4 linked regions of the Saccharomyces cerevisiae S288C genome follow. The gene in region 1 interacts genetically with each later gene. Each region holds a gene or a part of one and is shown on either strand. Other genes may lie near its edges.

Region 1 (3,915 bases):
AATGACATACTCGGCTTCAAGATCGCTCCAAGATCAGCATAACTTGAGTGCCAGTGAATATTAAGTAATCATCAAAGTATATGTGTAATTGTTTATACTCTTAGTAAAGGATGCTCCCTACAAGGTGGCTCTTTTCTTACTAAGCGCGTTCAGTTTCCAGCCAGCCGAAAGAGGGATATCAGTATATAAGAAAGCCATTCGGGGGATGAAAAGCTGACAAGAGAATAACGAGGACCAGTTTTTATTTGTTGTCTAGCAAGAATTATACACGCACACATACACGAGAGTCTACGATATCTTTAAATAACACATCAATAATGGTCACTCAATTAAAATCCGCTTCTGAATACGACAGTGCTTTAGCATCTGGCGACAAGTTAGTCGTTGTTGACTTTTTTGCCACATGGTGTGGGCCATGTAAAATGATTGCACCAATGATTGAAAAGTTTGCAGAACAATATTCTGACGCTGCTTTTTACAAGTTGGATGTTGATGAAGTCTCAGATGTTGCTCAAAAAGCTGAAGTTTCTTCCATGCCTACCCTAATCTTCTACAAGGGCGGTAAGGAGGTTACCAGAGTCGTCGGTGCCAACCCAGCTGCTATCAAGCAAGCTATTGCTTCCAACGTATAGTTGCCGGTATATTAACGCTACGTAAAGTACATCATGTTTACCAGTTTAAATAAACAATTTTAAAAAGAAACTCTATTACATCTATCTATCATTATTTTCTTCATTGTCTATTGTATATTTCATCATCGGTGTAACCAAGAATGTATAAAATGTCAGTCATGCTCTTGGTATTCAACTTACAAGGTGCAGCTTTCTGCACCTTTGGCTTGGCGTTCCATGCGATCCCAAACCCGGCGGTAGCCATGGCTGGCAGGTCGTTACCACCGTCACCCACCATACAACTTGCTTCAACTGGAACATTGTAGTCATTACATAGTTGCAGAAGGGTTTCACTCTTGCACTGTCCGTCTACGATAGGACCCAGTGTTTTACCGGTTAATTTTCCATCAGTGTCAACTTCCAACAAGTTTGCCTTACAAAAATCTAAACCTAACTGATCCTTGATAAAACCGGCAAACTGAATAAAACCACCGCTTAAAACAGCGAGCTTGCAATTTTTTTTGTGAAGGAACTTGCATAGTTCTGGCACACCCTTGGTGACCTCTAGCTTTTGTTTTATTTCATCATATAGTGTATCGACTTGGAGGCCTTGCAATAATTTAACGCGTTCTCTTAAAGACTCTTTGAAATCAAGTTCATTGTTCATGGCTCTTTCTGTGATCTCGTGCACTTGTTCTTCAACACCAGCATAAGCGGCAATCAATTCGATGACCTCTTGGTAGATTAATGTTGAATCCATGTCAAAGACAAAGAGCTTTTTGGCTTGACGATATTCATTGTCGACAGAAACAATAACATCAACATCATTATGACTGTCAATGACGTTCGTCAGCTTATTCTTGAGGTCTTTTTGAACAATCGATCCTGCGACTTCAATGAATATATCGGTAGCTCTGGCCGATAGTTTCTTGGTACCATTGATTGATACATCTTTCGCCGAGCTTTCAGTAATTTCTTTCGCAATCTGGTCGATGGTTTCTTTTGGGAGATTTTCTCCATGAGCTATGCAGGTGATAACAAACTTTGACATTTTTTACAGCTGTCGTGCTTAATGTCTATGCTATTGGACTTGCTTGGATATGTCTATTTGTTTTTTTTTTACATAGTTTCATAGTTTCTATTTTTTATTTATCATTTTTTTTTATTTTTCACTTGAAGATCTTTCGAGATTATTAGTATTGACTCTTTCTTTCTCGGTGTAAAATAATCCTGATTCGAGAAACGTTGTCAAGACACACTAGGATCAATAACCCCGATAATCAAGTATCAGAAAGAGTAATAAAAATGTCTGCAAAACAGCAACTACGTATATTAGTTCCGGTGAAAAGGGTAGTTGATTTCCAGATCAAGCCTAGAGTAAATAAGACCTTAACTGGGATTGAAACCAGTGGAATCAAATTCAGTATCAACCCTTTCGATGATATTGCTGTCGAAGAAGCCATCAGAATTAAAGAAAAGAACAAGAGTTTAGTAGAATCTACGCATGCAGTTTCTATTGGCTCCGCCAAAGCTCAGGATATTCTAAGAAATTGCCTTGCTAAGGGAATAGACACCTGTAGTTTAATTGACTCTGTGGGTAAAGAAAACATAGAGCCCTTAGCAATTGCTAAAATCTTAAAAGCTGTTGTTGAAAAGAAGGGTTCTAATCTGGTTTTGATGGGAAAGCAAGCCATTGATGATGACTGTAACAACACCGGTCAGATGTTGGCAGGTTTATTAAATTGGCCACAGGCAACAAATGCGGCAAAGGTGGAATTCCTTGATAATGGTAGAGTTCAGGTAACAAGAGAAATTGACGATGGAGAAGAAGTAATTGAAGCTTCCTTACCAATGGTTATTACTACAGATTTGAGATTGAACACTCCGCGTTACGTAGGACTGCCCAAACTAATGAAGGCGAAGAAAAAGCCTATTGAAAAATTGGATATAGCAAAAGATTTTCCTGAAATTAATATTGAACCTCAGTTAAAGATAGTGTCGATGGAAGAGCCAAAGACTAAGTCACCTGGTGTGAAATTGAATTCTGTGGATGAATTGATTGAAAAGTTAAAAGAAGTTAAGGCCATTTAAATGCAACAAAGGTCAAATGACATAAAATGAAAACTGATAATATTACTAAGGTTTATAAAAAAAAATTGCTGTATATGTGTACATAGATATCGAAATGCAATTTAACTAGGAATTATCCTTTCTTGATGGAGATAATAGTGTGTTTCCAACAATTCCCGGTGGTTTTTTACTCAGATATTGCTCCTTGTACCACTGATCGAATTTCTTATTAGAAGAATCATGTAACTGACAGACTTTGGTGATATTGTCACATTCTTCGTACCAAGGGCATAATAAGTCCCTTGTTGGTTGTAGCGCTGGTAACTTAAATTCAGGCATCTGAAACCTAGTCACTGTTTCTTGTGGAAAATCCTTACCATATTTGTTGTAGAGGGGAATACGCCGTAGGAGTTCTTCAACATTATTGTTCATTTTTTTATGCGATAAGCTCCCATTGCTATTTTCCTTTCCTTTTTAATCTTAATTAATAGCAGTAATTTTTCCAAAACCGCTTAAATCTCGGACAGCCTCTGAACGGTATTTGTATAAGAAGGACAATAAAAGCTCTATAAAAGTTTTATGATGGATATGTAACAGATAAACAATTTTTTTTGCATACGACAATTATTCAAGAGTTGCCTTGTCAAAATTCTGAACCAAAAATACATGAAATCATTATAAAATTATCTGTTAGTACATAAAATAGAAGGGAAAAGTGAGATAAATTAAAAAAAAAAAAAAAAAAAAAAAAGGCGTAAAAAAAAAGGTCATAACATCACTATTCAATACATCTCGTTTTCGTAGAATATACATTCCTGTTGGAGTCGATTCCTAACGTCAATGTAGCAATGGAACCTAAACTTTCACTCCGGACAAAGTCGTTCAAATAAAGTTTATAGGAGGGCATGTATCTATCCACAAAAGCATGCACTTGTTCGTCGGTCATCCCCTTTCCGACCTTTGATATTAGTTCATGCTCCTGTTGTAGTCTCCAGCCATAAACATTGTTAATGTTATCGGTGGTGAATACTATCCCTAAAGATTTGATTTCTGGGTTGCGCCACAACAAGTCGCTATAGAAGAAGAGCTTGGCATTGACATCAACCATGTCCCCAGTAAGAAGATCATTATTCTCAATTCCTTGCAAAATGGGGTTGAACCCGAGGAACCAACCTTCTAAGATAAAAATATCGACTGGTAGCTTGATTTTTTGACCAGTGGGGCAACGGTCCCC
Region 2 (3,589 bases), on another chromosome or scaffold:
GTCTAAACCTGATATACCATGAATGTCAGGAGCATAATGAGGTTCCCTTTTCCAAGGTCTCTGTGCGCCTTTATAAACTGGAATCGCTTGTGCTTTGCCCATCGCAGTCAAAAGAGAACGGGCGTTGTAGTCAGTATTCTCTGGCGGTGCGTTACCAAAACACGTGCTGATTCCTAGAAGATTGAAAGCTGGATGGAAACAGCCTAATAAAATGGCTATGGCATCATCATGACCAGGATCACAATCTAGCCATATGGGTATTTTACTAACAGTCATCTTTTCTTCAAACAGTCGCTGGTTATTGCTGTCCAACCCTTCCCCAACCTTGCAGATGAGGGAAATTATCTGTTTTAATAAGTTTCGTGAGGTAAAAAAATCAGCAGATTCCATCAAAAGTAGTTGTCACGTATGTGTCAAATATCGCGTTACGTGGTGGTGAACAGAGGGAAAACGTAATCGCGCCTCACAGGTTACCGGTGAGGCTAAGGGAATAAACTTTGAGATAATAATTAGTTATACGTATACATATGGTCGCAGTTATATGCGTTGTCTATTGTACAAATTCTGCTGTATGATTCAAGTTACTGAAGGATATGATATGTCTATCATTGCTTGTGTTCCTGCTCAGGAATAAAGATGTCATTGCCCTGTTCAATAGCCATTCTAGTATGGAAAACAATGTCAGTAGATTCCCATGGATATGCATACCACTTGTCTGGAACAGTTTTAGCTGCAAAATAACGGTTCTTGTCATTCAACATTTCGGCAGGCAAATCTGCTTTCTTTGGTTTTTGCTTATCGTGTAGAACAAAAATCCCGAAGTTTGTTTTCATCTCTGGAGACTTTTCAGTATCGATACCTTTAGCCTTTGCCTGTTCAGCTGCATCCTTTTCCAATTCACTCAAAGCGTAATGAAGTGTGGTACGGGTGTCATCGACTTCGTCAACGATAAGAACGTTCTTGCCGACTAGATCTAATTTACATTGCTCGTAATCAATCCATTGTGTTCTGCTAACCTTAACACCAACTTCCTCAACTTCTGAGCCTACACTGTTCAAATCTTCGTACAAAGACAAAATAATAGCAAAAATTCTGATGGTTGGCACGCCGGGCTCCTTTAGGAACGTACGTAGGATCCTAGCAGGAATGAAACCACCACCACCAATGGCAATGATTAAGTCCGGCTTGAAATTCTTAATTCTCTCAGCGGATACTTGACATAGTTGATGTACGTTGTTGTACGAGATGTATTGCTTATCGTTTGCCGACATTATGGGAACGTAATGGATATAATGAACACGAACGGTAATATAAAAATAAGAAAGATTACAAGGCACTACATCGTATTACTCCAGCTAGATGGAGACTAAAATAAAAAAGTTACGGCAAACCAAACTGCGAAGGGGGAACAAAATCTAACGGAAATTGGGCTTATCAAACATGTTTAAATAGAAAATTCTATAGCAGCTCATCGCTACCCGATTTGGGACAGATGGAGGGGGAAAAATTTTTTTTCCTTTTCTTTCCTAGTAAACGCGAAATATAGAGAAAAAAAATGAAAGAAGTCAGATAAGCGGAAATGATATTAATTGAAATTAATCTAATTAATTTTTTCAGAAGAAAAAAAAAATAAGTGACTCGGAAGGGAAATATGTACTGTCTTTTCTTAGTTAACCAACTATGGTTGTGACGTAAAAGTGGAGTGCTTGCTTGATGTTCCAGATGGCCTTACTGTTAACGATGCCAGATGCAGTTCAAAAAGGATAAACGATTGTGGGGGTCTTTTGACAGATCTTCTTCGCGTGGGATACTTTCGTGATCTTTTTTTTTCTTTTTTCTTTTCTTACATTATGTGGTGAACTCTATATAAGTATTTATGTGCCTAGAGATTATTTTTGTATTCTGATGCGTGAAAGCATTTTATGCATGATATCCTCTATTCCATCTCAACGTCACTATATCCGGCTTCCTCCTCGCCGTCGCTCTGCTCCGTTTCTAAACGGCCATCTTGCTTAGATGAGGTATGCTTCTGTTCCTCTTCGTTGTCACTATCACCTTCTTCTTCTTCTTCACTGCCATAAGATTCTTCACCGTCCTCTATAAGGCCGGCATCATCGAGTTCTTCGTTATATTCAACGTCGTCTTCGTCCTCTTCGACAACTGGTTCGGATGAGTGGATGTCGCCTGCTTCATAGTTCAAAGTTTTGAATTTATTTATAGTACAGTCTAACCTTGCATCCAGTGCTAGTAGCCTTGGTAATAAGTCGGAACGCCTTTTCAAGGTGGAATGTAACGACGATAGAGTAGACATCAAATTTGGAATAGAAACCAAATAGCCACCGTGTATGATTAAACACCATTTTACCCAAACATTCAATGGGCCTTGACGGTGGGTTTGTCTTGCAATCCTCTCTGCCAACCTTTCTAAGAGAATGACAGCCAGTGCTGGTTTCAGACGGAAGATAGTATCCCTAATGACCCTCTCGTCACGATTATTGAGCACTGTTTCCAACAGTGAATGATCATTTGATTGTAGTGCTTGCGACAGAATTACTGTTACCGTCCCGGTTGTCGTAGCAGTCTTGAGATTGGAACCTTTTAAATTTGTTTTTTTCCCACTAATCCTTGCGACGGTGCTTGATTCTAGCTTATCACCAAATGTTTCTGTTAATAGTTCATTGGCCTGTGGGGGCTTGGCCTGTTCTTGTTCCAAAGAAGTCAATTCTCTTTCCCAGCTCTTTATAGCGTCATCAACATGCTTGAAGTTATCTCCAGAGGTGACTCTTGCATTACCTTCCACGTAGTTGGTGGCTGAGGCAAGATCTTTACCGTGTAGATCGCGATCGGCGGACTTATTTTTATTATTCCAATTTAGGGAAATTTCGACGGTATATTCATTAGGGATTTCTCTCCACTGCAAGTTCTTGAAGTAAGGCATAGTAGCATTTTGTAACCACGATACGTTCAAAAGGTCTTTATTAATAAATGCGTTATAAATTGGAACTTTCCTGCCGTCTTTACTGACGATTTGAATCTTTTTGCTGGATTTTTTGGACTTGTTGCCTCTTTTCTTTGTTGAACTCGATACCAATGGATCAACAAAAATTTCCAAGCTACCATCCTCGGTAGTGACTGCGATAGAATCGGCTTGGCCTGAATGAGATAACTCCTTGATATCTGATTCAGCCACAAGGACGCATTTGGTCATACCGGAATGAATATCATATACGTTCAAGAATCTATCACCCTCTGCGCCTGATATGAAAAATTCATTAGTTATAACTTGCAATGTGGACACTGGAGATACATGACCGGGAAATGTCATTACGACTTTTTTCTCTTCGATGTCTATTAAAGAAATGGAATGGGATGCAACCAAAAGTTGTGCAACAGAATCGCCTGCTGGAACAATGGTTAGTTTATTCAATTGAACGCAGTTGTTTATTCTAAAATGTTGTAACAGTTTGAATTGTAACAGATCGAACTGATAGAATGCGTCGCTGGAGTCGATACACCACAGTTGATTACCCATCAAGTCTATGTCTTTGATTTCGTAAGAATTCCCCGTAGTGAATTTATAGGTGACTTC
Region 3 (3,861 bases), on another chromosome or scaffold:
TTTTCGATGTTCGTTTGTTGAGTTAGCTGTAATGCCTTCGGAGTCAGCTGGCTCGCGATGGCGAATACACCGTGCAGTGTACTAGCAAGAATTAAGTATTCATTGCTGTTCAATTTCTGTTCGTCGTTGGTAAAATTCCGCTGATAGATTAGTCCGCCTGATTTGTTTATTACAAGTATTGTTTCGATGGCCATTTCAATTTTTCCCGTTTAAATCCAACACTAAAATTGCACTTTTGAACTTATGCAAAGGCAGATTCCTTTTTTTAGTTTCACTCTTTTTCTTCTCTTCGCACCGCCCAACTCCTGCCGAGGAGGCATAAACTCCAACATATGATGGAAAAATAAAAGAATGTGTAGCATATTATTGAAAGAATCTTCTATAGGCCTAAATGTACATAAATTATAAAACAACATTTTAAAGCAGAACCAGTAGTGGAAATTAAAAAGAAAAATAAAAGCTTGTAAATGCTTCTCTTTACAATATTGATAACTTCCATTTTATGGGAAGAAAAATCTCGTGTACCATTTCCTATTCAGTTTTTCCATTAAAGTGGTGTAGTACTGCATCTCGCCCCAGCAATCTCTGCCAAAATTGCATCCGGCCATATTCACAACAAAATCATGGTCTTTCTCACTGTAAAAGTATCTTGAGTCACCACTGTATTCAGAGCATGCTCCCGGTGGGAATGCATTGATCGTTCTTAAGGGCAAAAATCCTATTCTCGAACGAATCCACGGTTCGTTTTCATATAATGCCTCTAACGCATCTTGTTCTCTATGTTCCCAAACCATATGTTTTTGTTCATACAGAACGGGGTCCCACCACATATCTAGAAGCAGCTTAGACCATTCGCTATTTTTTATCAGAAATGAGCCCAAATTGAAGCCTCCACAATCTTGTGTTATTAGAAACTCCATTTCCTCTGAATAATCGACATAGGGTATGTCGTCTCTTAGGTTTAGGGGATTAAAACTTTTCAATTCTCTGTCAGCCAGAGTTTCCAATCTGTCGAAAATATGTTCTTCTAATGATTTAGAAGGCTCCATTATCATAGTATCCAGGTCCAACCACCAGAACCATTCTGCATTAGGAAACTCCCTGAACGTCTGTCTCAATATATCTACTTTTTGCCAACCCTCTCTGTATTCGTGAGAGTATCTTTTGGACGTTGTCAAATCCTTGATAGTCAACGCATATCCATGTCTCTTCGCATAGGCCTTCTTATTTTCTATTGATATGCCTTCGATAGCCCATTCTTGCTCATTTTTCCACCTCAATACACCACCACCTTCGTTTGCCGCTAATATAATGACAATCCTAGGATCTTGATTCCAAAACGACCATCTTGATCTCTTAGAATATGGTGGTACATATCTTTTGGAGTTGATGCTAGAACCAGTATTACTCAACTTATTATCGTTACTATTTTGGCCTTGAAAACTTGTGGTAGATGGATTTCTGCTTATGGTGGAATCGCTTATCCATATGAATAAAAACAAAGCTAAAGATATTAATAGTATTAGCTTTCTCCATCTCGCTAGCGAACTGCATAAAGTTTTCCTCCAGTATATCATTTTATATTTCAGGCCTAGTTTTGAGCCTCTGCTCTTCTTTTCATCTTCATCGTACTCTAGATGGTTGGATATAGGAAGTTGGGAATTATAAGGTACACTAGACATATTGTATAGTTGTACATGCACAATTATTCCTTATAAAAATAAATAGAGAGCTTTTCTCTCCCTGATAAACCTCCTTTGGCCTTCAATCCAAAAATTCAGGTGCGGAATCAAAGATAACTTTTAAACTTTATATTTAAACAATTTTTTCTGTTTTGTTTGTTATGTAACATCCACTTGAGAAGAGCGAAAAAACAAGAAAATAATCAAAGAGAAATGTCATTATGGACGACTGTAAATAGAGCAGCAATTATGACCTTTGAATGCATGTTTTCCAAGGTTGAAATCTTGCTGATAGTATTTATAAGATTTTTTATTGCCTTATATATAGGATAGCTTGTACTGCTAATGCTAATGAATTTGGGCAGTGATGCGAGAACATAAAATTGCGGAGAACCATATCAAAACGAAAATTCTCCTTTAAATCTTTTCAGGTCCATGCCTGGCTTCACTTCTTGAAGTAAATCATCTCTATTCATCGCTATAAAAACTCTCTTCAAAGTCTCTATAACAGTATCATTGTACGTATTCAAGAGAGATCCAACGTCTCCTTTTTTATTATTAGTGTTCACTTCATGCATACTTAGAACACTTAATAAGTAGCCTGCTGCTTCTTTGAAACAGCCTATATTCATGGATGATACCGCCAGATTATAGCGAGCTCTAACAAAAGAAGGTTTTAGTTGTAGTGCCCTATGATAGGCTTGGATTGCTTCCTCTGATCTATTGGAATTGGCCAATGAAGCCCCTAATCTATTCCACATGAGTTCGTCATTAGGATTCACCCTCAACGCACTTTCAAAGCAATCTATGGTTTTGTCAAAATCATCTTTCGTGTAAAATAAGAGACCCAAGCATAGTTGTATTTCAGGATCTATTGTGCTTAAATTGTTTGCTAGTTGCAAAAATTGCTTTGTGATATGAGCGTTCATATCAATATGGGTAAACCCTTTCTCTTTTTGAAATTTGTCATCTTGTTGCTTGATCCTTGACCAAATTTCCGGGTACTTAGTTTCTGCCCATTTATCCAGCATTGTGAAGGCGCTCATATCATAACCTTCGTTTATATAACTTATCGCTAAAGTTTTCATTGCCTCCAGATTCTTTGGGTCTAACTTTAAACATTCTTCGAGGGCGCTTATGCCGTTCAACTCTTTTTCATTCTGGGTTTGTACTAGACCCAATCTTAGCCATGCATCCACATGGTCCGGTTTTTCTTTAACAGCAGCTTCAAATGCTAGCGCTGCCTCGCTCAATTTGGCTCCGTTTTCCATCAGTAGGCAGCCAATTTTATAAGCATTAGGATTATTAAAATATTCGTTGTTAGATTGAAAAGCATACTCGATGTTCCCATTTACTCTACCGCCGAGATATTTCAAGTAGTCTTCTCCTAGATTGAGGTCATCATTAACTAATTCGGATGGCAAGACTTCTTCAGCGTCCTTGTGTATGCTATCCCACACTTCTTGGAAATCAGATTGATACTGATCTCCATATACTCCTTCTTCCTTCTCAACAGTTTCTGGTTTGTTTTGTTCTACTTCACTCACATTTTCCTCCTTCTCTATTTCATCATTTATGTCCAAGTTTTCTGAGACTTCTTTTTCCAGCTTTTCAAACTGATCTGTCCAGGGTTGTTGTTCTTGCTCATTGACTCCTTCTTTAGAACGACCAGACTGTTGTTGATTCATGAAAGCAGGCGATTGGAGCCTTGATCCACTAAGACTGTTCATAGAAGCATAAGCATAGTTATTCATCATGGTATTAGGGTACTGAAACCGGCTTGATGCGGTTGTTGAGCCACGCTGCCATGCCTTTTCTGAATTTCCTGTATCCGCGTTTCTATTTTGAATACTATTACTACCTTGAAATTCCTGTGACCAATGAGATATATCGTTCACTCCCTTAATTTGGGTTGGGTTTGCTGAAGTCTGTAGAGAATGTACGTTTGAAAAAGGTGGAAGCCTGCCTGAGGATGGCCCTATTTCCATTCTTCTTTTATCATCGATCAGTGGTTCTCCGTTTATGAACCTTTGCATATTCGCCATGTTTTCTTGTGAAATAGCATTAACATTGGATATAAAAGCCTCACTAATACCTGGCTTGTTGGTACCCTGTAGAGGTGACTCATTAAGACGCCCATTATTCTTCTGATTAAACTGAAGCGATTTGTTCTGCTGAG
Region 4 (4,596 bases), on another chromosome or scaffold:
GCAGAAAGACCAACGCTACAGGTAAGCTTGTGCTTAGTGCAATGTCTAATCTTTGAGAGCGGTGAAAGGTAATATCAGCACCATTCAAAATAGAAACACTTTTAGAATATAAACGACCTTTCTTTGGGATTGCAAACAGTAGTCTATCGGTTAGATGGTTCACCAAATCCATTTTTCTATTGAATTTTTTAGAAACCTATCCTTTCTTTTCTATTTTCAAAGATTCAAACCGTTAATAGGAGTAAAATGCCAAAGTTTAGACGGTAAATACTTGCAGTTCACTGCGTATAAATGGACTTTCAGGCGAGTATATTCTGCAAAAATATTTTATAAGTTCCAACGGTAGAGGTGACTCACTTGGAAGCTTTTTTTTTCAATCGTTGGCTACGTGCGTACACGTGTTTTGCGGTCTCGCTTCGAAATGCCGAAATGAAAGAATTTCCGGGAAGAGTCACGCTGTTATCAATGACTTTGCAACTAATAAATTAACTAATAAATATTTTAATTAATTTTTTGACAAGGAGTCTAATACCTCGCATGCTAAACAACCTCTCTAGCCGGGTTGCCGGGTTACATCTCGTTCTCTTTACGTTCACATAGTCACATAACCACTAGTCACCTGTGCATTCTTACTTTTTTTTTTTCTTTTTGGCTTTTATTGTAAGACTGATATGCAGGCCACAAAGTCTCAATTAGGTCGCAGCCGTGCAAATTGTCTTGGCATTTTTGAAGTTTTGTATATACCATAGAGATTATCTTTGATATGTTACTAATATTGTAAAATACAGTTTGTAGCTATTTTTATTAAATGAGATGTCTAAATAGTTTACATGAAATTGCATCTATGATACATGACGTGAAATGTGCACGGGGAAATGATCGCCCTAATCATTACTTCCTAACGACCGAAGTATTTTAATTCTAAAGGTCTTAAGATGTTGTAGATGATGAAGGCCCAACTTGCACCCAACTCGAACCCAATGTCACCACCATATTTACCAATTAAGCGGCCAATTTCACCAACCCAATAGGTTTGACACATACCCAATGCAACACCGAAGGCACCAACAATTAAGGCAGCAGTACCTGCGATACCGATAGGTAGATGCTCCCAATTATCCCAATCATCAATATTGTAAGCACTGAAGGAACGTCTGTAGAAGAAATGTTCTGAACATGAGATGGCAATGTAAATAGCTAAGTAGTAACCGATAGAATCCATGAAATTCTCCATAAAGCCATCAAAGTAATAGGTAGCAGGGATGGAAATACCTAAAGTGGCAGCATTACCTGCCATTGTCCAGACTACTCTTGGTATTTTAGCCAAAGGTGCCCACAAAGCTTGAGCGGATAAAGCAACAGTATACATATTTGGAATATTATTTGCAATAGTGGACAGAGCTAACAAAACGCAGCAGAATTGACCAAATCCGTTCAGAGAGTTAGGAACCAGGATAGCATATATGACACCACCCATAGCATTTTTGTCATAATATGCCTTCCAGGTTGGGTCATTAAGAGCAGCCATAGCAGAAGCAGCACCAAGAATCATGGTGAAAAATAGAGGGAACGCTAGACCAGCAACTAGGGAGAAAAAAATCTTGTACTTGTTTGTACTCTTTGGCATATAAACAGTGTAGTCAGCTGCATAGGTCGTCCATCCTGCGGCAAAACCGAAAATAGATGAACCAAAAGAAAGAACACTACCTGCAGTAGTTGCACCTCCTACCCATTCACCACCTTTAAACTTTCCTGATCTCGATAGTTGGGCAATAATAACCAAAAAGACGGCAAAATTGGGTACCCATGACCATTTCTCGTATGCATGAATGACACTGTAACCAAAAAAAGTCACAAGCACGGTACCACCAATAATGATCAGACAACCGGCCCAAATAGGACAGACGTGGCCGGAGCCTTCATTCACCATATTCAGCAGTTGTGCGGATACTGAGGTATTCACAATACCCCAACCGACACAAGCAATAACGTTAATAAGAGAGAAAATTCTTGCCGTTACATTACCAACCAGATATCTTGATAAAATCATCTGTCTTAAGCCCAGTTCTGCACCAAAGACAGAAAAGAACGCAACAAATATCAACCCCATTATATTGAAAAATATGATAACTAAAACACTTTGACCAAAATTTAGACCGAACACCATGGGTCCTAAGGCACCCAAAGCATATGATGCAATGACCATATTAGCTGAAAACCACATGGACGCAGCATTCAGTATGGAATCGTCCGTTTTTTCATCCTCTGTAACTGGTTCAACACCCTTTGTTTCTGCATTCAAACTGGCAAAGAACTTATGGAACCACGATAATTTTGTGGCCTCTGATGATTCAACGATATACTGTTGGTCATCTTCGGAAGTTGCTGTGAAAGTTTCAGAAGCGGCTACCTTCTTTTCGTTTTCCAAGCTTGAGCCTATTACAGGAGATCTCTTCTCCAAGTCTTGGATTTCGTAAACATTATTTCCCTCTTCCAACATTCTTATAAATCGTTATAATAGAGGATAGGATGTTTTATATGCGAAATTTATATGGATATTGTTGTGAATACTATTACAGTTAAGCTTACTTATCTACATTTCAAAGAAAAATGCCTCCAACGCGTTTTAGACTCACCACTATTTTACTGTCTAAATATTTTTAATGGATATTTATATTAAAACCATTATCTTGGTTGGTTCCCTAACATCTTGATCATCGAGAAAAAAAAAAAAAAAAGGACATGAAAAATTCTGACAATGAAAAAAAAGAAATTAAAGACTCATAATTATTTATTGATAAGGCGAAGACGTAGCAACTATATGTACGTAGAAGTCAATGGCAATCGCGATAAAGCTGTGCATTAATGACCGAACGCGGGCGGCAGACATTTCTGAAAAAGAGTCAATTTGTACGAATACGCCCCCCACTCGGGAAAGGCGATAAAATCGACTGATATTTAGTTCCTTGAGGCCGTTCCATTGGTGACAAAAGAAAACATGCCGCTCGATTTTCTAACACTAAGCAAATCCGCAGAGGAGTATTGCAGTCACTTTGACCGAATAAGACCAGTATCCATCGATTTTCTGTCTTGGATGACCTCTTTGCTGTTCTCCACAGGTAAATCACTTAAAAAAGATATGAGATACGTTAGATTAATTAATTTCAGAAATTAATATGATTACGGAAACTTGGTTGAAAGTGGCTGAATTTACGACGTAATCTGTCTTGACATCTTTTTTTTTTTCAGCGAGCATTCTCTAGGATTTTTTGTTTACTTTCCACTTGGATTTTATCTGTAGGCTTTATCAAGTTCCTGTATGTATGGTTGTGCAAGGCACTCTTCTTCATAAAGGAAAAGATGTGTTGAGATTTGTAAGGCTTTTCATCAGTGTTAGATCTGAGGTGGTGTTCACATTAAATTAATCGACGCAGGATTTGGCGAAAGCTTCTGGCATAATGTTTGGTGTTTGTGGTGTGTGATTTCTTTTTTTGATTTTTTCTTTTGCAGTTGTATTCCCATACATTAAATTGTTCGTGGCACATGAAAAAAAAAAAATAAAATATGAACAGGTCTTTTTTATAGCAGAGTTACGTCGTCTACAGTTGGACAGGCGATTGACTACTAAATTCCCATGGCTATGGATGACGATGATTAATGAAGAAATAGTAGCTCGACAACATTACAAAAAGCATTATTCATAGAGCGCTAGAGCCATGAAAGTTTTCTTGTGATATGAATTATTTTTATTCGTGCTTTATATAAAACAGTTAATTAGGTACATAAGAAAAGTAACATTTTCTTAAAGTTTATTTCTTAGCCTTCTTTTCAGATTTCTTGGCAGCTTCGGTTTGTTCCTTGACAACCTTCTTGACAATTTTTTGTTCTTCGATCAAGAAAGCTCTAATAATTCTTTCCTTAACACAGTTGGCACATCTGGAACCACCGTAAGCTCTGGAAACAGTCTTGTGGGTCTTGGAAACAGTGGCGTATTGTCTTGGTCTCAAAGTAGAGATACCTTGCAAAGCGCTACCACAGTCACCACACTTTGGTCTGGTAGCTAACTTCTTGACATGTTGGGCACGCAAAATACCACCTGGGGTCTTAACAACCTTGATTTTGTTAGAACGGGTGTTGTCTATTTGAAAATGTTTTCAGAAAGTTGGTATACTTTCTCATTTGAAAAATATGTTAGTACGAAATGTTTCAATAGGAAGGAGTTCGAGAAAACTTTAAAAGAAATTTTCGTAACACAGATTGAGATTATTAGCTCTAGTCAGTATCAGGGTTAAAAGTGGCTGCTCTTATTAACTATCGTTTTTCTTCTCATTGCTACTAATATTGTATTATTTCTGGACACAATATTTCGCGCAGAATAAGTTATTGATAGTGGATTACAAAAACGGGGTAAATTGCTTTTGATAACTATACTAGGACCCCTGACATGGTATCCTCTCCTCTCTTGCTCTTTTTTAGTTGAATAATCATCATCTCGTCAGAATTTCTCGTAATTTATAAGTGTGCCTTTAACATACATGGATTTCTTCTTCTGAAAGTAACACGTTGGGCCATCTTTGGTTGTTCTGTTATGCAGTC

The links.
Region 2: mutations in SER2 (region 1) and HPT1 together harm fitness more than expected from each alone (negative genetic interaction), as found in Saccharomyces cerevisiae (3 studies listed by BioGRID).
Region 3: mutations in SER2 (region 1) and MNN10 together harm fitness more than expected from each alone (negative genetic interaction), as found in Saccharomyces cerevisiae (4 studies listed by BioGRID).
Region 4: mutations in SER2 (region 1) and FCY2 together harm fitness more than expected from each alone (negative genetic interaction), as found in Saccharomyces cerevisiae (3 studies listed by BioGRID).

The regions. Positions count from the first base shown.
Region 1 is NC_001139.9:909,630-913,544, reverse strand, and holds SER2 (phosphoserine phosphatase), read right to left. Parts: upstream 1,663-3,915; coding exon 733-1,662; downstream 1-732. Other genes in the region: YGR210C (uncharacterized protein), read left to right, coding at 1-42; thioredoxin TRX2, read left to right, coding at 318-632; CIR1 (Cir1p), read left to right, coding at 1,917-2,702; ubiquitin-binding ESCRT-I subunit protein MVB12, read right to left, coding at 2,808-3,113; TDA10 (putative ATP-dependent kinase), read right to left, coding at 3,460-3,915.
Region 2 is NC_001136.10:1,267,750-1,271,338, reverse strand, and holds HPT1 (hypoxanthine phosphoribosyltransferase), read right to left. Parts: upstream 1,272-3,589; coding exon 606-1,271; downstream 1-605. Other genes in the region: URH1 (trifunctional uridine nucleosidase/nicotinamide riboside hydrolase/nicotinic acid riboside hydrolase), read right to left, coding at 1-276; UTP5 (Utp5p), read right to left, coding at 1,937-3,589. UniProt on the Saccharomyces cerevisiae protein: Converts guanine to guanosine monophosphate, and hypoxanthine to inosine monophosphate. Transfers the 5-phosphoribosyl group from 5-phosphoribosylpyrophosphate onto the purine.
Region 3 is NC_001136.10:950,621-954,481, reverse strand, and holds MNN10 (alpha-1,6-mannosyltransferase), read right to left. Parts: upstream 1,683-3,861; coding exon 501-1,682; downstream 1-500. Other genes in the region: TRAPP subunit TRS23, read right to left, coding at 1-194; PEX5 (Pex5p), read right to left, coding at 2,081-3,861. UniProt on the Saccharomyces cerevisiae protein: Required for polarized growth and efficient budding. The M-Pol II complex possesses alpha-1,6-mannosyltransferase activity and is probably involved in the elongation of the mannan backbone of N-linked glycans on cell wall and periplasmic proteins.
Region 4 is NC_001137.3:265,614-270,209, forward strand, and holds FCY2 (purine-cytosine permease), read right to left. Parts: upstream 2,501-4,596; coding exon 899-2,500; downstream 1-898. Other genes in the region: HIS1 (ATP phosphoribosyltransferase), read right to left, coding at 1-172; 60S ribosomal protein eL34 RPL34A, read right to left, coding at 3,810-4,138, 4,536-4,572. UniProt on the Saccharomyces cerevisiae protein: This permease has a broad specificity towards purines, and also transport cytosine and 5-methylcytosine but neither uracil nor thymine.